Linked DNA regions of Tamandua tetradactyla. The protein of the gene in region 1 binds, or shares a complex with, the protein of each later gene. Links are inferred from orthologs where the notes say so. Each region holds a gene or a part of one and is shown on either strand. Other genes may lie near its edges. The genes, in order: LPL and GPIHBP1.

The links.
Region 2: the proteins of LPL (region 1) and GPIHBP1 are in contact, whole or in part, in a crystal structure (PDB 6OAU), measured with the Homo sapiens proteins. The link is inferred for Tamandua tetradactyla from reciprocal best matches to the Homo sapiens genes LPL and GPIHBP1. Residues at the interface, in NP_000228.1 of Homo sapiens: Tyr367, Gly368, Thr369, Ala371, Glu372, Glu374, Leu403, Met404, Lys406, Lys430, Lys440, Ile443, Cys445, Ser446, Arg447, Glu448, Val463, Lys464, Cys465, His466, Asp467, Ser469; in NP_835466.2 of Homo sapiens: Cys68, Lys69, Ser70, Leu92, Ala94, His95, Gly96, Asn97, Thr98, Glu99, Ser100, Leu103, Thr104, Thr105, Ser107, Trp109, Cys110, Thr111, Asp112, Ile117, Lys119, Val121, Glu122, Thr124, Val126, Met128.

What each region holds. Positions count from the first base shown.
Region 1 is NC_135329.1:20,509,890-20,520,763, forward strand, and holds the start of LPL (lipoprotein lipase), read left to right. Parts: upstream 1-6,355; 5' UTR 6,356-6,547; coding exon 6,548-6,635; intron 6,636-10,874. UniProt on the Homo sapiens protein: Key enzyme in triglyceride metabolism.
Region 2 is NC_135332.1:83,687,878-83,699,069, forward strand, and holds GPIHBP1 (glycosylphosphatidylinositol-anchored high density lipoprotein-binding protein 1), read right to left. Parts: upstream 4,667-11,192; 5' UTR 4,423-4,666; coding exon 4,265-4,422; intron 3,788-4,264; coding exon 3,678-3,787; intron 3,110-3,677; coding exon 3,002-3,109; intron 2,813-3,001; coding exon 2,696-2,812; intron 2,579-2,695; coding exon 2,328-2,578; 3' UTR 2,202-2,327; downstream 1-2,201.

The DNA.
Region 1 (10,874 bases):
CCGTCCTCCCTCCCTCCCTTTCTTCCTCCCTCCCTCTGTCTTTCCCTCCCTTCCTTCTTTCTTTCCTTCCTTTATGGGGTCACAATCTCATGCAATAGAAAGATGGTAAATAATACAATTGCAGCACAAGGAGTAGTGACAAACTCTCAAAGGGAAGTCTGGAAAACGCCATGGAGGAGACAGTACCCCAGATCCTCAAAGAAGAAAACAAAGATTTAATGAATTGCTATGGCTCAGCAATTCCACTCCTAAGTATGTTCACAAGAGAACTGGAAACATTTCCACACAAAAACTTGTACATACGAATGTTTAAAGCAACATTATTCATAATAGCCAAAAGGTGGGACAAACTGATAAGTGGATAAATAAAACGTGGCATATATCCATACAATGGAATATTTGGCAATAAAAGGGAATAATGTTTTGCCATGTCCTTCAGCACAGATGAACCTTGGAAATGCGCTAAGTGAAAGAAGCTAGTTACAAAAAAGCTCATATGGTATGATTCCATTCACAGAAATGTTCAGAGTAGGCAAATCCACTGAGATAGAAAGACACCTATGCCTGGGGTAGAGAGGAAAGGGGAGTGACAGCTAATGGATTGGGGAGTTTCTTTGGTGTTGATGAAAATGTTCTAAATCCAGGGATGGTTGCACAACTCTGTGAACGCACTACAACCATTGAATTGTAAACTTTAAGTGGGTAAATTGTATGGAAAGAGATTCATATCTTAGTAAAATTATGCCTCTGCACTGAGATTTAATATAAACATTAATGGATTAATATACGTAAATTCTTAGAATAATGCCAGATACATAATAAGTGCTATATGAGGTTAGCTGTTTTTATTACTAGATAAAATGCAAAATAAATTATGAAAGACCATATTCACTTGCTAGATTGGTAAAGATTTTTTTAAAAAGGTCAGTAAATATGTGGTAATGATCAAGATGTTTAGAATCACTCGCTCTTAAACACTGTAGGTGGGAATGCAAATTAGCACAGTTTTTTTTTGTAGTGTAAGTTGGGTTTGCTTATAGAAATGATAAATATTCATACCTTTTGATTCAATAATTTCAAAGACTTGACCTTTGTTCACTACTGCATGGCTTGTTTTGTCAAAAGACCTAAATGGGACCATGGTGGCTGAGCGGCAAGAACGCTTGCCTGCCATGCCAGAGGACCCAGGTTTGATTCCCAGTGCCTGCCCATGTAAAAAAAAAAAAAAAAGACCTAAATGACTATTAATAGGGGTCTGGTTTAATAAATGACAGTGTACCATACAATGGAATATTACATGGAAATTAAAAGAAAAAACAAAAGGGACTCTTCTGGTATGAGCTCATCTCTAAGACATATTGATAGGAAAAACTTGCAGAACAGTGCTTATGGCAACCTACTGTAAAAAATATGTATGTGTGCATGAATATCCACACATTTACAAATACAGCTATGCTTTATATGCATTGACTTTTCTGGAAGCATACACACAAAGGGAAAAGTAGCTGCTTCTGGAAATGGGATTAGAGGTCAGAGAAAGACTTTAATTTAGTTTTGCACTGCTTGGACATTTGGGGCGTGGGGAGGTAGATCAAAAGTCTATTCATTTTTTAACTAAAGAGTTAAATGGAAGACAAAAAAAGATATATGAGGCCAGCAAAATGTTCCCATCAAATAATATGGCCCTCCATTTCCCTACACCCAGATTTGGCTTAACTAGAATAGACCGCAAGGAAGATGTTTGGGAGGAAATGTGTAGGTGTGTGCGTATTTTTGTAGGTCTTTAGCTGAAGTTTTATAATTAATAAACCTAGTGGAATTTTAAAAGAAAAACTTTACAGAATCCTGCTTTCTCCCCATTTCTCACTGGGTCATCTTTCACTCAGTGCTATTAACTTATCCAACAATATTGACAAAGAATTGTCTAGCTCCCCAGCACTGTGAGATGCTGTGGGGAGTACCACTGGGGTATCTTCCTTCAAGTTACTTATATCTTAATGAATGAAATGAGAAATGATCAAATAACTATATATAAAGTCAATTCTGTTTCAAGCCTTTTAAGCCAGTATTTTTGAGATGCTGCAGTATCACCAGAAGATCAGCAGGGGGCACCTCAAACACATCCTCTGCGAATGTGAGCCCATCCACACACACACACACACACACACACAAATCGGTTTCTCGACTATTCAATTCATTAAATAGGTCACACAAAAAGTCTTTTTTTTAAATCTCCTACACGAACTTAAGTTTTTTTGTTCTGTGTTTTGGTATCTATTTATGAACAAATGTGGGTTATAAATCCATTGGGCTATGGGACATTCTTTTAGATTTTGTAGACTGTTTTCTAGTAAAGGCCTGCTTCCCTCTTCCCCTTGGCCTTGCTGCAGTTCCACTGTGTCTGTCTGTCTGGTATGTTTTGTCTTTCCCATTTACCATATAGCCCTGTGCCATGCAAATGCATTGACTTTTATTTTCTTTCCTCTTTTTGAAAATTATTTTTTATTGTTCATAACTTTATTCAAAAAAATTTTAGTGCTGATATCGAAATGCGATTTCTCTGTTTATTTTTCTTTGTTTTTTTTGTGGAAGGGGATCAAGGAAGAGGATTAATATTCTCAACTCAAGAAGACGAAAATTCTTAAAATGTGTCTGAATTATTTCAGGCCATACCTTGAAAATTTGAAGCAGTTATCCCCACATTCCATATACCCCCCAAAAGTCAAAAGGTGCTCTTGAAACTCAAGCCTAATGGGGAGAGGGGTTAGTAGGAAATTGGCTAAATGCAATAACTATTTGTGCTTTCCTTGTTCTGGGACACCCAACTTTGCCAAGGGAGAGCTGTATTGTCTGAATTTCTTCTTCCCTGAACTAATCTACTTGGAATTACTGCAAAAAAAAAAAAAAGCTTTGTTGGGTAATGGATAAAAGAAGGGCTCTGCAGACCAGCACCTCCACTCATCTGGGTCAGCTCCAGCTTCAGATACTAGATGGTTCTGCCTTCAACCCAGAGCTGCCAGCCTCAGCCCTGCCGTCAGAGCACCGGCTGTTTACAGATCTGCCTTCTGCTCCTCCCTGTGCAGAATTTAATGTTGGGCTGTGGGTAGGTTGTAGTGGAAAAGCCCTTTATGACAGTTTTAGTAAATATCTTGTTTGTTGTTGTCGTTTTAGAAAACATTTTTCTCTTACCCTTCTGGTTTTTTTTTTTCATAGATTTTACATACTATTTAAATTTATGGTTTCATATTCTTCAATTTTCTTTATATTAGCTGTGCTTTTTATTCTACATCAAATATAATTCTTTGTGATGAAGACCAGATTCACTTCAGTACTGACACTTTTGGGGCCCACTTGTCATAGAGTTTAGCAAAAAAAAAAAAAGCCACAAAATTAAAAATCAGTACTAAAATATGCTTGTACAAAAACCATCTGCCTCCCAGCCTTTTTTGATTTGCAATTACAGTAACATTAAAATATAGCACAGCAACTATATTTTCCTTCTCTCCTGGGATTGCCAAAGAAAAAAACACTTTGAGATTTGTGGTTATTGTTGTTTAATCTTTTCTGAGCTTCATCTCCCTTTATCTATACAATGGGGGGTATTATTCACTTCAGAGTGGTTTTTGTAATGATTAAATGCAGAATGAAATGAAAAGGGCCCATAATCGTGCGTGAAAAATAGCAGGTCCTCAATCAAAATGAATATTTAGAGGACTGAGAGATGACAGATAAATATATCAATAGATAGACTGACGGAAAGAATTAGATGATAGATAGATAGTACCTCCCACATGCGGAGTTTCCAGTGTGTACACACGTTTAATTTTTCACTTACATCATTTCTAACTTACACCGCAGCGAGGTCCTGCTTTAAGGATACTTGCTTAGTTAGACATTTATAAAAAAGCTTAGCTTTTAAAAGTTTTTGAAGCGTCAAGTTTTGTAAGCCTGCTACAAAGGAAATGTCCTAATGGAAAAGTTAAGCCCCAAGTTACCCGTGACCAAATAACCTTGCTGAAGCTTGGAAGAGGCCCTTCTCTAAAGCACTTGCCGTCCTTCTGACAGATCATGTGAACTTCTGGGGGAGCACGCGGGCGTCTGCTCGCCCCCCCCCCCCAGTAGCCAATCAAGAGAGGGCCTTGCCGTCACACCCACCTGCCCATCGCTTGCTTCCAGGAGCGCACCCAGCCTGGTTGCTTCTCTGCAAGGCTGAGCGGCTCTGGGTTAATTCTTCCTGGAAATCTCTGCAGCTCTAACGGGTATGCACAGTTAGAGCACAGGTCACTCTAAAACTATCTCCATTTTTTTTTTTTAAAGCTCCGCCGACTCTGAGTTGGTTTAATTTTGTTAACTGTTAACTTGGGAAATCATTCTTAAAATACATTATAAGCACCAGACTTCCCTTTATTGATTACATAAAATCCCCCCTTGAAGTTTCTGAAAAGCACAGGAGTGCAGATTCGTTTGGTTGTCCTAGCAAATGATATGTGTGCATGAAAGTGTTTGCATTTTCTATTCCATATGAAATGGTATGCATTTGTGCATTTGGATTTATACGTCCTTTGTACCACGAGCACATTCAGTGCAACCGTACTTATCGTACGTCCTTTTTAAAATTAGAATTTACTATGCAAATTTTTTCGAGGACTGTCATAGTTATTTGTGCCCTGCATGGTTTGTTCTGCCGCTTGAAAGTTCTTCTGAGGTCTTTCATTCTTGGCAGGTTCCAAGATTCTTCTACATGCCTCATAGGATGAAATGAGTGTGCACGACATATTGTTTAAGAGCTGCAATGCCAGATGATACACTGTGCTGCAGCACTGAACATGTCAGTTTAAAGACAGAACACTATTCTACAGAATAATAATTCTTCATTTATTTGGGTGTATCAGGTTTTATTTTTTGAGAGAAACTCAAAATATGAGACTAATTAAAATTGTATGGTCTTTCTGTCTTCTCACCTACAAATACACATTGTGTGTGTGTGTGTGTGTGTGTGTGTGTGTGTAGGGATGTGTAGAAAGAAGCATTAAAGATATTTAAATCCAGTATGACAGATTGGGGATTCTAATTTTTCAGCTATAAACTGGGGAGTGGGGGGTAGAGTTCATTGTCCTTCCTGACTAATGTCAGTCCTTTACATTTAAAAGTATATTTGAGGTGGTGCAAGGGTGGTTCAGTGGCAGAATTTCCGCCTGCCATGTGGGACACGCAGGTTTGGTTCCCGAACCCTGCACTTCCCCCTCCCCCCACAAAAAAGTATATTTGGAAGTATTTTGAGCATTTCAGCAGAAAATCACATTATCCAATCTGATTTTATTTTTCTTATTTTACTTGGATATCTTAGTATACTTTCTTAAAAAGCTTTATTGATATAATTTATACACCATAAATTTCACCCAATTAACATGCACAATTCAATGGTTTTCAATTTTTTGCAGAGTTTATCACCATAAACCAATTTCAGAATACTTCATCACTTCCCCCAAAAGCCTTATGCCTATTAGCAGGCACTCTATATGCCCCCCCCTCACTCATCCCTCATGCCCTGACAACCACTGATGTACTTTATGTCTATATATTTGCCTATTTCAGACATTTCACATCCATATAATTCTACAATCTTTGTCTATTGTGAACAGTTTCTTTCACTCAGCATAGCTCAATACACTTTTAAATTATTGGAACCAGGCACTTTGCATCTGAGGATCAGATGATGCATCCTTGCATTCCTTGATGAGTTTGAGGATTGGTTATAATTTACAAGAGGCAAAAAACAAAAACTAGTTAAATAGGCTTTTCTCAACCACGTTAAACAGATAACTTGGCAGTGTTAAAAAAATATTAGATTGTGCAAGCACAGCTGCATAGCAATGTGTGTCCATAGGTCCCTAAAGTAACATTGTGACCGAGAGGATTCTGGAAAAAAAAGAAAAAGAAAACAAATTGTGCAAGTTAACAAACAGGATCCACTAAATGAATGGATTGAAGTATTGACCAAATGTAGTTTAACAGCCTAACTTCCTCTCCTTCGAAAACTGGTGAACAGGCAGAAGTATAATATTTAACATAAATCGATAAAAACCTGTGCTGGATGCTTCTGTACAGGGCTCTGGAGCGCCAGACTCCTAAGGGAAAGCTAACAGGAACCCAAAGGAAAGCAAACTTTCCCTGCTGCCCTTTCCCCCTCTTCTCGCTGGCAAAGACGATCCTCATTACAGTTTGCTCAAATATCTGGAAGTGGATTTAGGGCCCACCCCACCCCCCAACTTATGCTTTTATAGCCAATAGGTGATGAGGTTTATTTGCATATTTCCAGTCACATAAACAGCCCTGTAATGGGAACAGTGTCAGACTCGATTCCTCCTCCTCCTCCTCCTCCCCAGAGGAAACCTGCCACTTCTAGCTGCCCAGCCTTTCCCTTTAAAGGGAGACTTGCCCCGCGCGAAACCGCCGCTCCAGCCCTCTCCCTCCTGCGGCTCAGCCCGCCAGTCGGTCGGTCCGCGCCAGCCCGCGCGGCGCAGCTCCTACAGAGGACGCCGCGGAGATGGAGAGCAAAGCCCTGCTCCTGGTGGCCCTGGGCGTGTGGCTCCAGAGTCTGATCGCCTCCCGCGGCGGGGTGGCCGCCGCCGACAGTAAGTTTTGCAGGCACTCTCCCCTCCACCTGCAGATGCGTCTCCGTGACCACTTCCACGCCCTCTGAAGATGGGAAAGAAGATGTTAAAAGGAGCTGGGGATGCGCACCGGGGACTCCCTCTGCGGGAGGGAACCCAAGAAGGGCCACGGACGTGGGGTCGGGAAAAACAGGGAAGGAATTCTCCCTCGGATCTCTACGGGGTCGGCTCCGAGTTCCCGCTTTCTCTTTCTGGCGGGTTCCCGCGCGGTGCGCTCCGCTGGCTCGGCGTTCAGGGACTGGCGGGCAGAGGCGGGGGAGGGCCCGGGGGTGTGACGGGTGGGACCCGGGAGGGGAAAGGCCAGGATGGCGTGACCCGCAGCACTCCCCGTGCCGGGGGCGGGGGGAGAGGGCTGGGATAAAAGGCACGCAGCCCAAGGTGACCCCGGCTTGGCGGAGGCGGCAGCTCAGACACCGCCAGTGGCAGGCGAACGGAAAGTGCCACCCTCTCTTGGAGGAGCCGGCCTGGGGAGGGTGGAAGGAGCTGTCGCTAGTTTGGAAGCACAGGGTACCAGTGATCTCTAGCAACCTTTGCGCTCCCGAGGGGTAGTGGGGACGCGGGGCGCGGTGTTCTGGTCATGCCGCGTCGGGTATGCGTTAGGACGCCGGGGAAAGTCTCCAGATCCACTCTTGCACGCTCTGCTTTTCTTAGAGGAGAGTTGACCCTCCTGAAAACGTGGCAGTGACCAGCAGCGTTGGGGGATGTCAGCAGCGACTTGGGGGCTGCACAGGTTATTCCCGTCTGCATAAGTTTTTCTAGCCGAGGCCAGCGCCACGCGCCCAGTGCGGCGGTGCAACCGCGCACACGTCGGGCCTCCGGGCGCCGCAGGGAGGCACTGGGCGATCTGGAGCTGGAGTGCCGCCAGCTAGCGAGTGAGGGCATTTGAGGCGAGGTGCAATTTCCTTTATTGCAGGAAAAAGAAGCGCCCAGCCCGCCATAGAGTCAGTCTGCATAACTTGAACCTTGGTTCCCGTAAAATACAACAGCAACTAAAGAGGCAATTGAAGCAAATTTTCTTTTTCCTTTGATGCGATTCCACTTAGGGTGGTGTAGATGGATGTGCTTTCAGGCGGCACGTCCAAAGCGGCTCAAGTTATAGTCGAGTTTGTCCATGACTTTGCAAGCTGAAAGCTTATTTTACTTTGGCATTGAGCTGTGAAAGAGATTTTTTGTTAGATTAAAAAAAAATGTAATCCCATTAATTGCTGAATGGGATGGAAAGATTTACAATGATCTTTTCTGTCAGATCAGTTTAAGAACACTAGGTCAGTTAGAAAGTCTTAAGTATCTTGATATTGAATTCCCCTCGATAGTGTTTAACACTGGCCAAGATGATGGTAGAATGAACTCCAAATTCTTATTTCCTAAAGTTTACCATAGTACAATGTTATTTTTACCAGAAGCTTCACATGAGCATGTGTCATCCACATTTTAGGATTTGTTATCCTCTCTTCTAGGTTCACAATCCTAAATTCTTGGGCAAGTGAGTGTCACCTCTCTGGGTTTAGCCTCCTTAACTCAAAAATGAGGCATTCGAACTATACTGAACATTCTCTAAGGCCCCCCTAATTCTTAACTTTTTATTAAAATGGACACGTTAATTAAAGTGATTTTAACCAACATGTGCTTTCCCTGGCTGATAATGCATGAAGGAAGAAATCATTGCTAACTTGAAATTTCTTCCTCTCATCCCCCACCCCCAACTCAACCTCCACCCCACAACCATTTATGCCTCTCCCACCAGAGAAGGCAGTTTTCCTCCCCTTTTCCAACAAATGAAATCATTCAGGAAGTTGAGAATTTCAGGATGGGAAAGGCACAGGTGTGGAGAAATGGTAGGTAGCATCTCCATTGGACCCTTACTTGATTCATTCATTCTCTATTTCTTTCCCAGAAGAAGATGAGGATATGAGGCCCTTCCCTCGAGCTCTCTGCTCTGGGAGCCACCACAATCTCTCTGCATCCCCAGATGGAAACTTGAATTGCTGGGAGAGGGACACCTGGGTACATGCTCAGTCGCTGTGGTCCTATTTGGCCACAGTGAATTTCTCAGGCCAACATCTGAGTTAAACATGATGGGTGATGAGAACATAATAGCAGATGTCACTTTTCTCATAAAGTTGAGCTCAGCAAGCAGGGGCGTGACTAATTAATAGCTGTACTGAAAAGTGGGAGTCAGGCACGGGGGAAGAGTTGCAAGGGAAATTTTTCACTTTTAAGCAGTGTTATTTTTAGCCCAGACTTCTATTTTTTTTGCTTCATGTATGAGAAAAAAAATGGGCTATATAGTTTACTGCCTCTATTATGTCGATTGTTCCAGAAAATGCCTTGAAACATACAATATGTTACCACTGGTTTCCTTTCTCACGAACACCTGTTCCCACCTCATATTCCCCTGCATTCAATGTGAAGCTGTTCTAGCAATCAAAATGATTACTGGGTGGGCCACGGTGGCTCAGCAGGCAAGAATGCTTGCCTGCCATGCCAGAGGACCCGGGTTCGATTCCTGATGCCTGCCCATGTTAAAAAAAAAAAAATGATTACTGATGCTGACTTTAGATCACACAGTGTAAGAAAATTATTCAAGCCATAAGTATCAAGCTTTTAGGTCTGAATGAAAATACTGTTGCAGAATTTACTCAATGCATTTCCCAACTTTTATGGCAACAAATATTCAGGTGTAAAACTTTTGTAAATTTCAGGCTAGTTGTATTCACTTTCTATAGTTTGTCACCTGAGTGAACTAAACAATTTTTATCAACAGAGACTTTTTAAGTCTCTGGGAATGAATCTTTGTCAAAAGTAGCTTTAATCACACTCTCTCTTTGCAAAACTTGGAGGCTCTGTTAGTTTCTGAAGGGGAAATATGATAGAACACCCAAGCTCACTCAGAGACTAGGTTTGAGATTTGTTGTTGAAGAGTCTTTGTTCACCTAATTATAAATTTGTACATTGCTGGCTGTGGCCATTTAAAACATGTCTGTGTGCTTGACACCATTTGGGTTTTCAATAAATGTCAGATATGATTAGAGAGGGAAATAAACATTTACTAGGAAAGAAAAAATGGATTCACCTTAGTTTAAGAGAGAGAGAGAGAGATGGGGGCAGAGTTGGGGATACATATTTAAATATGTGCCACTTATTTCTTTGCTCTTCACAATCTATTCTCTCAGAAAGTTCAAAATTTATATCAGATAATTTTGTAATTTAGACTCTTTAAATGAATAAAAGAAAATGGCCCCACTACTATTTGGCAGTGAAATAGAACAAAGAAGCCCAAACTGGTATGGCTACACTCTAATTTAGAAATATTATTCTGGCTCGGGTTAATTTTGAGTTTAATATATACGTTTGCAGAAGCTTTAAAATAGTATGAAAACTTGGACTTTTTGGATGGGTGGTGGTGAATACAGGTGAATGGATTTGAATCGAGAGCTTCTCAACAGCCCTCCACTCAAGCATATAACTGTCTTGAAATCAGTGATGTACTTTTGAAAAAAATGTTGGTTTTCAGAGTCAATTTAGATGAAAAATAGCATGATGCTTAGCGTCTACATTTCAATGAACAGAATATACTCCATATCTTTTACCCAGATTCCCGCAAGTAAAACAACTATTACACACATATCATCGGCTCTGATTGTGTTTAGTTTGAGGCAGTTGGATGCTTCCGTTTGCCCTCTTTATCAATGAGAAGAAAGTCATTTCAGATTAACAGTTTGAGAATTTTGTATTTCAATTTTTTAATTCTTGATTTAAATATGCCTACGTATCACTCAATCAAAATATTTATTAACCAATTCACAGTACCCTTTTGAGCAGTGATAGCTTCCACTTGTTTTTTCACACTCAGTGGTCTAAATTAACTGGGCAATTGTAACACACATATCCAAGCCTGTTTTTTTTAAACCTTTCTTTTCAGTAGGGTGGAAGTTTATTCCGAATATTAGAGAAAATTTGGCATCAAATGAATTCATATGTGAAATATAGAATTTATTTTTACTCCTCATTTAGTGGAACAAATACTTTTCTCTGTAAAAATGAAAAGTAAATAAGCTTGTTAGATACTTCAAGAGCATTAATTCACTGTCTATATTGGAATATCTGTAAAGACCAGCAATTCATTCAGAAAATTTATTGATTTTTTTTCCCTCGTCAAACAAGTCAATTCAGCAGTTCAGCTTGTTGTGCTTTTTGGCA
Region 2 (11,192 bases), on another chromosome or scaffold:
CAACCCCATCCTACCGGCATCACCTGTCTCCCCATGCCCCAGCTGCTGGGTTCCCTCTGCCTGGCAGACTCCCAGCCTGGCCAATCATCCCCTGAGATCTGTCCCCCCACCTCCTCTGTGAAGCCCCCCACCGCAGTGCTTCTGGACCGTGGCCACCTGTGCCCAGGTGCATCCCTTTCGCCATGTCCCATGCCCCTTCAAGCTCTGGCAATGGACTTGAGTGGGGTCCATGGGGGCTGTGGGGGCTGAGATGAACCCTTCATGTAGGGTCTGTGTCTATGTAATTAGGTAGGGGACCTTGGAGGGGGGGGGGAGATGGCCTGGGTTATCAGGGGGACCCCAGGGCAACCACAGGACGGGGGTATTTGACCATGGAAGGTGAGGCTTGGAGCAGCGCCCTTGGAAGGAGGAGCCACGTGGCAGCTCCAGAGGCTGAAGGAGGAGGACTGGGGTATCCCTGGGCCCACGAGACTAGCTGAAGGAAGGCCCTGCCCATGCCTCTGACCTCCAGAACTGCACGAGGCTCCACTGGAGCAGTTTTAACACCACAGGATGGGTGGTGAACTGGCCCCACTCTTGGATGTCTGGGTGATGCCCAGTCAGGATGCATGAGGGGGCCCCAGGATGCTGGGAAAAGAGGGTGGCACTGAAGCAGAAGCCCCAGGGTAGGCTGTACCCCGGCTAAGGTATGCTCCATACAAAGAGCCTCAAAGAGGGAGGGCCGTTGTTAGAGGCCAGGCTTGGTGGACTCCTCTGGCTTCCAGGGGTGTGGAGGGTGTGGATCTGTCTGCTGAGACCTATGCAGGGCTGCAGGCAGGTGTTTGGAGGGTGTTTTTGTGCAGGTGAATGACAGCATGCAGTATGGCTGTCACCAGGCTTCCTCTACTGGTGAGGAACCCAGGCTGCACAGGAGGTACTTGCTTTAAACACAGGTACATGTGCTGGTGAGCGGGGCCGTCACAGCTCTGGGCTACACGAGTGTCTGTATATTGGGCACTGAGTGCCAGGCCTGGAGCATGAGGCCTTTCTCACTGCAGGCTTCCAGGGAGGGGCTCCTATGACTCCCCTTCAACAGAGGGGGAAGTGGTATGCGGAAGTGGGGGAGTTGTGGGGCTCAGATTTCAATCCAGGCAGCTGTGCTCGAGTGTGTGTGGGTTTGGTGAGTTTGTGTAGATATGCATGTGTGTGTGTGTGAGGGTCTGTGAAGATGTAAATAACAGACAAACCCCAGATAACATTGGTTTCAATGCAGTAGACGTCCTGAGGTAGGCAGGGCAGGGCTGGTACAACACACCCAATCATCAGCCATCCAGGCTCCTTCCTCCACGCTGCCCTACCACTTTTAGTGTGCTACCTCATGGCCCAAAAATAGCTGCTGAGCTCCAGCCACTGTTCAGCCAGCAGGAAGGAGAAAGGGGAAGAAGAAAGGTATGCCGCCTCCATTTAAGGAATGCGTCCCCCCCCCCCCGCCAGGCTTTGGATTTTTATTAATAAGGAAGAGGGGAGAATGGATAGCAGAAGGCGGCTCATTGCCTCTGCCATAGAGGAGAGCAGTCAGATGCGTCCCTGGCTCACATGGGCCAACTGGGAAGAACCTGGCCGGCAGGATAGGACTCTGGACTCCCCAGCCCACAGCATGCTGAGCTAATGGGAATCTAAGGGTCCTCTAAGTGTTTCTCATTGCTCAGATGAGAAAACTGGGGCCCATGTCAGAGGCTGAGCTGTGGCCGGATCTTGGCCTCCCACTGGGGCTATGCCCCGCAGCTGCTGCTGGTGAAAGCAGTGACTGGTGCAGCCAGGAAAGGCACATGCCCAGGAACCAAGCACACCAGCCCAGGCCAGTGGAATCCACAGGCTCCTCACCCAGCACAGGAAGCTTCTGCCTGCCCCCTCTCCCTCCATTAACTTCCCCACCCTCTTCCTCGCCCCTCAGGCTGCCCTGGGCCTCTCCCTCCTGGAGGAGGGGTGCAGAATAAAGCCACTTCTCCCCTGACCACTTGGAGGTAAACATAGTTCCCACATTTGGGAAAGAGCAAAACTTCGCCAGGCTCTCCAGTTGTGGAGAGGGGAATTTCTTTGGCAGGAGGTCCAGGGAGAGACCCTGGGGCAGGGTCCCCCAGCCTGTGTCGCTGGACTTGACAGATGGGGAAACTGAGGAAATGTAGAACGGGGGTGGGGAGGAACCAGTACTGGTCGGATCATTAAAGGAGCTGCAAGTTTATTCTGCGAAGCTGGTGGGGGCGGGACCGCAGGGAAGGAGCCCTTGGCCAGGCCAGGATGGGAGCAAAGAGGCGGTGAGGGGAGCAAGGCGCCGCTGGGGCGGGTCTTCAGGACCCCAACGCCCGCAGGGCCGCGAGGAAACCGAGCAGGAGGGCTGTGCCCACGGCGGAGAGGCTGCCCTTTGGGCCCCCAGCCCCGCTGCCCAGCGGGTTCCGGGCTTGCGGGCTGTGCCAGGGTGGGACGTTGCACAGTGCGGACTGGCAGCAGGCCATGGTCAGCCGGGTCTCCGCTATGGTCTTGGTGACAGCAAGGCACGTGTCTGCACACCACCCCGAGTAGGTGGTCAGGAGACCCGACTCTGGGCGAGAGGGATGGAGATGAGTGCTAGGGGGCCGGGAGGGCCGAGGTAGCTGCACGACCAGGACCGACTTGAGTCCCTCAAAGAGGAGAAGAGGGACCCGGGCGGCTCACTCACCGGTGTCCCCGCGGGACAGGAAGGTTTTGCAGAAGGTCTGGCCGAGGAGGCAGTTGCGGACCTGATCGCAGGCCTCTCCCTCCCGTAGGGACTGGCAGGAATAGCACTGCAACTGGGCTGGGGGGCGGGGCGCGGTGGGTCTCAAGAGGGGCGGGGCTGGGGTCAGAGCGGGCGGGGCGGAGCTCAGGCGGGGCGGGGCCTGGACGCGAAGTGGGCGGGGTTCAGGCGGGGCGGGACTAGGGGCTGAGCCGAAAGCATCCGGCCTGGAGGGCGTCCGGCGCCCTTGGCTCGGGGCGGACGGGCTACCTCGGTCCCTGGCGCCCGGGATCTCGTTGGCCTCGTCGTCGTCGTCGTCGTCGTCGTAGCCGTTCAGCCCGCCGTCGTCCTCGTCCTCGTCCTGCTCCTGCCCTTTCCCTGACCGTGTGCAGGGACGTCTGTAAACCTTGGCTACCCCGGTACAGGGAACACAAGCTCTGGCCGCCCGAGCGCCGCGCCCCCGGGGCCCCGGCCTTGGCCCCTCCGTCCCCCTGCGCCCTACAACCGCCCCCTCCGGCCCCCTGCGCCCTCCGCCCGTCCCGCTCCTGGCCCCCTAGGCCCCCTGCGCGCTTCCCGCGCTCCGGCGTAGCCGCCACACCCGGTACCGACTCCTGCGCCCCCGCGCGCCTTGCGTGGCTGCGGCCTCCTACGGAATAGAATAGAAAATCCAGGCCCGGAGGGCTGAGGGGAACCCCCCCTTCCCTCCCAAAGCTCCGCAGCCAGGAGAGGCCGCACCTGGGTCCTGCCACGCAACCCGCCAGTTCCCTGGAGCTAGGGCGGGTGGGGGTGGGAGGGAGCGGGCGCCCTGGACCCCCAAGGGTCTGGGAGGTTTGGAGAGCGGACAAGAGAGCCCCCATCTACCACCCTCTACCCGGGGGAGCCCAGCTTCAACCTCCTCTTTTCCGATGGGGGCTCTCTCCAGGCCGGGGGTCCCCGCCCCACGCACCTGGCTCTGCGCACAAAATCAGGGCGAGCAGCACAGCCGCGAACACCTTCATAGTTGCTGGAACACGGCTTCCCGGCCACTGGCTGGGCTTTCGCCAGGGGCTCTGGGTCCTGGGGGAGTGGGACGAAGGGCATTGCCTGAGACCAGCTTCCCGGCGCCCCCACCCCGCCCTGCAGGGCCCTGCTGGCTCAGGCTTCAGACAATGGGCCTCCCTCTGGCCCCAGCTCCAGGCACCAGGCCAGGGGCTGTTTCCCTCCTGGACCCCAGGGGCGCCTGAGGGGAAGGGGAAGTTGTTGTGATGGCCTTGGGGTATCCTGTCCACCTGTGAGACCCTGTCCTAAGGTCTGGTCAAAGCTCTGGACACATGGCCCCCCATGGGGCCAGGCTCCCATGCCTCAGGAGTGCCCGGTCGCAGATGCTCTGGGCACAGAGAATGGACCCAGGTGCCTTGCAAGCTTGGAGTCAGCATGTCAGCATTTCAGGGTGTGTTTTAAGAGCATTTTAAATAAAAATGCAGAAACTGCTTAGTCTGTCCTTGCCACTGTGCCTCTCCCGTCTGCTGCCTGCCTCCCAGCTGCCCTGCTCACCTCGTGGTGCCGGGTCCTGGCTGTCCCCTACGCCTGGGATGCCCTTTCCGCAATTGGCCACATGGTCTGTCCCGTGGTCCCTTTCTCAGAAAGGCCGATCCCTCCGGGGGCTGACATGTACGCACCAGTCTAGAGGCTGCATGGTGGCGCTCACCCATTTCTCCTTACAGCCCTAGGGCCTGGAGCTGACCCCCACCGGCTCCCGTGGGTGGAGGACATGAATGCACCATCCGCCATTCCCAAATCCCCCCTGTGCCCCTCACTGCAGACCTATCACTTAGCCCTATTTCACGTGGGGGAAACCGAGGCCATGAGGAGCAGGGATTTGCCCAGCGCCTGTTGGGTACCTGCCAGGGAGCTCTGTCCCTGCTGGCCTGTCGAGGTTGTCCAGGGCAGCCCCACCCCGTGTCGCTGCTCCCTCCTCCTGCTGCCCCGCATCTGCCTCTGCCTTCTGGATGAAGGTTGGCTGGGGGACAGCAAGGGGGAGGGGCCGGGGTGTAGGGTGTGGGCCTGTGAAGGCACTGTTAACCCCACCCTTCTGGCTCTGAGCAGTGTGTTGTGTGGGAGGCCTGGGTTGACAGCTCCCCAGTTCTCTCCTGCGGGTACCCCGGCCTCCAAAGCCCCGAGATGCCCCCTGCCGATTCCCCAAGGGCAGTGTGCTGGAGCCTGGAAGCAGAGGTTTAAGCCCGGTTGCTGTGTGCAGGCCTCATGGCTTGGGCCTCCCTTGAACCTCCCAGGCCTCAGTTTCCCCCATGCTTCCCCGTGGAGAAGAGGCTGAGCTGGACTGAAGAGCGAGGCTGCCTGGCTTTCACCCGGGTCTCCTCTCTCTAACTCTGGGTGCAAGACCAGCCTGGGGTTTTCCAGACCTCAGCTTCTCCCAGGGCCATGACCACTGTGGCAGTCCCAGCAAGGGCTTGGGGTCCTTCAGGATGGGATGACACCTCTCAGAAATCTTGGCAAGCCGTGAGTCTCCTATCCCTCCTCCATGCTTCTCAGATCTGTCCAGGCTCTGCACCCCGTGGCCACCCGGCTGCCCAGCCATTTCCTGTCCTGGTGGCCAAAGTCGCTTGCCCAGCCCTTGTCTCAAGTTCTTCCACCCCCCACATCTTCATTCCTCCTGGCCCAATCCTAGCAGACCCCCGGCCCCTCCTACAGGTGCTTAGACCCATGAGCACAGGAGCACCTCTCAGGAACCCCCAGCTCCCCAGATTGCACTGACCGTCTGGGCTCCCCGGAACCCTGGGGGAGCAGGGGTGGGTGTGGGGTGAGTCTATTGCCGCTAGTCCTGGGCCCAGCTCCGCAAGCCAGTGGTCCTGCGGGAGCTGCCTTGTCTCAGGTGCACACTGCCCGGCCTACCCCGGGGCCTGTGAAAATCTAGAAATAATAATGGCAATATTTAATTCATTAATTAAAATGGTTTGCATTGATTCTCCATAGCTCTGAGGATGGGTGGTCTCTCTTATCACTGCCTTCCAGACCATGGGCTGAGCCACCCACCCTGGGACCCACCCTCACCCCCATGGCTGTGTACTCACGGCCCCTGGGTCACCCTTCTGCATGGTGTCCACTGTTACCCCTGCCTCACCTGGTGCAGGCCCACCCAGGACAGGCCGTGGGGGTCTGGCTAGACCAGGGCTGGTGACTCACCCATGGGGGCAGGCTGCGGGAGACTCTGATGACAGTCCCCTGGTCTGCCTCTCCTGACCCATAGCAGAAATGCCTGACTGTGTGTAGGCCCCCTGCCCCTTCCCCATGCAGGTACCTGGGCGTCCTCTTAGAGGCTTCTGGTCACAGGGCTGTCCCCTGGTGGTGCCTCTCTGCCCCCAGGCTTCTGGACACAGCAGTCCAGAGACCCCCTCAACTCTCAGGGCAGGGCTTCAGGGGGACATAAAGCCCCCAGGGCAGGCCCGTGTACCCCCAGAACCCCAGCAGTCGGGCTATCTACCTTATAAGCCCTGCTGGCAGGCTTGGCTCTTAGCTCCCTTAAAGGGCAGCCTGGTAGCCCCGGCTCTCTGCCCTGCAGACCCCTGGGCCGCTGTGACCTCAAGCTTACCTGCTCAGCCCAGCTGGCCGGGCTGGCTCCCGGGGGTGGCCTTTGGGCTGCTGTGTCCACCACCGGGCCTGGCTCCCCGACCTCGGGCACCGGCGTGAGTCATGCTACTCTTTCTGGCAGCCGTGGCCTTGGGCTTAGAGCTCGGTGCCAGCTGTGGACAAGGGCCGCTGCTGTCCACACTCCCTCCTGCCCCTGTGGCGGGCAGGGTTGGTGTCCTGACAAGGCTGGGCCGGGATGCTGGGAATATAAGGTCCCATCAGGGCTTCCATCTCTTCCCCTATTACCCTGCTCCCACCCTGTGTTGGCCTCTGGGGACAGCAAGGTGACTGGGACCTGGACTTTGCTCTGCCATCCCTGAGGAGGTAGCTTATGCCTGGGGGTGGGTGGGGGATGGGGTATCGGGGGGGCTTCCTGGAGGAGGGCGCGTGGGTCCTGGGATATGGTGAATGGTATTGGCTTGTGGGGAGGGGGCGGCTGTGAGTGAGGATAGGCCGCCCTCCCACCTGGCGGGACGCAGGCAGTGGCAGCTGGGGCCTTTTGGCTCCTGGAGGGCAGGTGTGGGCTGCAGGTTAGAAACACTTTAAAAACGGTGAAGTGAAACGCCGTGTGCAGCTGCATGAGAGAACAAAGCTGTCAGTCCTGAATCAGAGAAACCTTAAGTGGGTAATGCACAGGGCACAAGGGTGTGGAGATGCGTGAAAAGGCAGGAAGTAAGGACTGCATTCATGTTGTGTCTTCATAAAGGGACTCTGCCACCGCTGGGCTGGCTTCCTGTAGTGTGTGTGTGGCACCACACTGTTTTATTTCAACCCTCAAAGAACACAAGGAGGTGACAGCTTCTGATGCCGATCCGTGCAAGTAGTAAGAAAGGAACAGAAAAAAATACTAACAACCAAAGGAAAAATCGTTAAAACTCATGTCCAAGGGGGTGCTTGGGCAATATTGGCAGGACAGTGCTTGGAGCTTACCCCCCAACTCTGGCAAAGAGCAGCCACGTCTTCTGAGAGTCCACACGCCGAGTCACTGTGCTGCGCCGGGCTGCAGACTTTGTCGCTGACCTGGGAAGGCAGCCGGTGCCGTGTGCGCTCGCAGCAGCCATGAGAACCGGGACCAGCTTTCCAGGAGCGCGCCGGGAGTCGCTGCTGGTCCCAGCCCTTCTCTTTACCAACCTAAAAGTCAAGTTCTGATTGGGATTTCTCAGCCAACCCAGCACTCAGAGGCTCCGCCGGCGGCTCCGGTCTCTCTCTTTTTTCAATTGTTGATAACAGTTTTATTTGTAGTAGCAGAAAGCTGGAGAGCATCTAAATGAATATCAGTTGGGAAACTGATTAATAATACACCGTGGTTCATTCATAGAAAGAAATATGCTACAGTACAAAAAAAATGAGTCAAAATGGATGAATCTCACTCATATCATTTTGAGTAAAAAAGCAAGTGCATTGGGTGGGCCACGGTGGCTCAGCAGGTAAGAATGCCTGCCTGCCATGCCCAAGGACCTGGGTTCGGTTCCCCGTGCCTGCCCATGTAAAAAAAAAAAAAAGCAAGTGCAGAAGCTGACAGTATGACATTATGCACATTTGATTTTTCACTTAATTTTTACAAATATTTTTATTGACAAATCTTTATACACAGACATTCCATACAGGGTGTACAATCAATGGCTCACAATATCCTCACATAGTTGTATATTCATCACCATGAGCATTCTTTTTAGAACATTTGCATCACTCCAGAAAAAGTTAAAAGAAAAGAATTCATAAATCACATACTCCTCACCCCTCCCTCTTATGGACCACTAGTATTTCCATCTACCCAATTTATTTCACCCTTGGTCCTCCCTATTATTATTTATTTATTTACTTTGGGATGTCCAGGGTCCATATTTTTTTTAAACTCATCTATCCATACCATGAATAAAAGGAGCATGAGACAAAAGGTTTTCACAATTCCATGGTCACATCGTAAAAGTTATATCTCTCTACAATCATCTTCAAGAATCAAGGCTATCCAGTTAGCCATTTTAAAGACAGTCCTTCGCCCCACTGTTGGTGAGTGTTTCATCTGAAGCATGAGATCAGGGTTGGAGCAACAGTGGCTCAGTGGCAGAGTTCTTGCCTGCCGTGCCAGAGACCTAGGTTCAATTCCTGGAACCTGCCCATGAAAAAAAAAAAAATGGGAACACATAAAACATGGAATCAGGTTCTGCTTCACATGCAAAAACAAGGCTGAGTATGTTTAGTAGTGAAATATATGTATATATGTTTGTGCTTTTCTTTTTTTTAAATTTTTTTGTTAATCAAAAAAAGAAAAGAAATTAACATAACATTTAGAAATCATTCCATTCTACACATGCACTCAGTAATTCTTAGTATCATCACATAGATGTATGATCATCATTTCTTAGTACATTTGCATCGATTTAGGAAAAGAACTAGCAAAACAGCAGAAAAAGATATAGAATGTTAATATAGAGAAGAGAATTAAAATAATAATACTAATAAAAAAATATATATATATAAAAAAGGAAAAAGAAAAAAACAAAAACAAAAGATACAAACAAACAAACAAACAAACAAAAAACTATATTTCAGGTGCAGTTTCATTCAGTGTTCCAACATAGTTACATTACATTTAGGTATTATTGTGCTGTTCATTTTTGAGTTTTTGTATCTAGTCCTGTTGCACAGTCTGTATCCCTTCAGCTCCAATTACCCATTATCTTACCCTGTTTCTAACTCCTGCTGGTCTCTGTTACCAATGACATATTCCAAGCTGATTCTCAAATGTCGGTTCACATCAGTGGGACCATACAGTATTTGTCCTTTAGTTTTTGGCTAGACTCACTCAGCATAATGTTCTCTAGGTCCATCCATGTTATTACATGCTTCATAAGTTTAGTCTGTCTTAAAGCTGCATAATATTCCATCGTAGGTATACGCCACAGTTTGTTTAGCCACTCGTCTGTTGATGGACATTTTGGCTGTTTCCATCTCTTTGCAATTGTAGATAATGCTGCTATAAACACTGGTGTGCAAATGTCCGTCTGTGTCTTTGCCCTTAAGTCCTTTGAGTAGATACCTAGCAGTGGTATTGCTGGGTCGTAATCCATTCTGCCAGTCTATGTCTTTTGATTGGGAAATTCAGTCCATTAACTTTTAGTGTTACTACTGTTTGGATAATATTTTCCTCTACCATTTTGGCTTTTGTATTATATATATCATATCTGATTTTCCTTCTTTCTACACTTTACTCCATACCTCTCTCTTCTGTCTTTTCGTATCTGACTCTAGTGCTCCCTTTAGTATTTCTTGCAGAGCTGGTCTCTTGGTCACAAATTCTCTCAGTGACTTTTTGTCTATAAATGTTTTAATTTCTCCTTCATTTTTGAAGGACAATTTTGCTGGATATAAAAGTCTTGGTTGGCAGTTTTTCTCTTTTAGTAATTTAAATATATCATCCCACTGTCTTCTAGCTTCCATGGTTTCTGCTGAGAAATCTACACATAGTCTTATTGGGTTTCCCTTGTATGTGACAGATTGTTTTTCTCTTGCTGCTTTCAAGATCCTCTCTTTCTCTTTGACCTCTGACATTCTAACTAGTAAGTGTCTTGGAGAATGCCTATTTGGGTCTATTCTCTTTGGGGTACGCTGCACTTCTTGGATCTGTAAATTTAGGTCTTTCATAAGAGTTGGGAAATTTTCAGTGATAATTTCTTCCATTAGTTTTTCTCCTCCTTTTCCCTTCTTTTCTCCTTCTGGGACACCCACAACATGTATATTTGTGCACTTCATATTGTCATTCAGTTCCCTGATCCCCTGCTCAAGTTTTTCCATTCTTTTCCCTGTAGTTTCTGTTTCTTTTTGGAATTCAGATGTTCCATCCTCCAGTTCACTAATTGTAGCTTCTGTCTCTTTAGATCTACCATTGTAGGTATCCATTGTTTTTTCCATTTTTTCTTCTTTGTCCTTCACCACCATAAGTTCTGTGATTTGTTTTTTCAGATTTTCTATTTCTTCTTTTTTTTCAGCCCATGTCTTCTTCATGTCCTCCCTCAATTTATTGATTTGGTTTTTGAAGAGTTTTTCCATTTCTGTTCGTATATTCAGCATTTGTTGTCTCAGCTCCTGTATCTCATTTGAACTATTGGTTTGTTCCTTTGACTGGGCCATATCTTCAATTTTCCGAGCGTCATCCATTATTTTCTGCTGGTGTCTGGGCATTTGATCAGATTTCCCTGGGTGTGGGACCCGGCTGGTTGAAAGGTTTTTCTGTGAAATCTCTGGGCTCTGTTTTTCTTTTCCTGCCCAGTAGGTGGCGCTCGTGGCGCTCGTCTGTCTGCGGGTCCCACCAGTAAAAGATGCTGTGGCTCCTTTAACTTGCCAATCCGAATCTCGCAGTCGGCCGGGAAACCGCGCGTGGAGAAGGGGGGGTGTCGCCGGCCGCAGTGGCTTGGGGGAGTGCCGGTCCAAATTGCCCAGCTGGCCCGAGACGCCAAGCGTGGCGGAAGGGCCCCGCTATCCAACGTTCCCAGTCAGACCGGGGAGCCAAATGCGTGGAGGGGACCCCAGTCGCCAGCCGCTCTGGCCGGGAAAACGCGCGCCCCTCGGGTATCTCACCGCAGCGGATTCTCCCTGCCCGTTCAGCCGTTCCAGAATGGGGTACGCTGTCTTTTTGGTCTCTGTCGTGGCTCCGGGAGCTGTTTCGTATTGTTTCTGTTTCTTTAGTTGCTGTTCTGGAGGAGGAACTAAGACCCGCGCGTCTTACTAAGCCGCCATCTTCTCCGGAAGTCTGTGCTTTTCTTTTAAAGAGACAATTATCAATAATAATCAAAGAGACATTTAATAATATTGCTTCACAAGTCCGGATCTTGCCCCC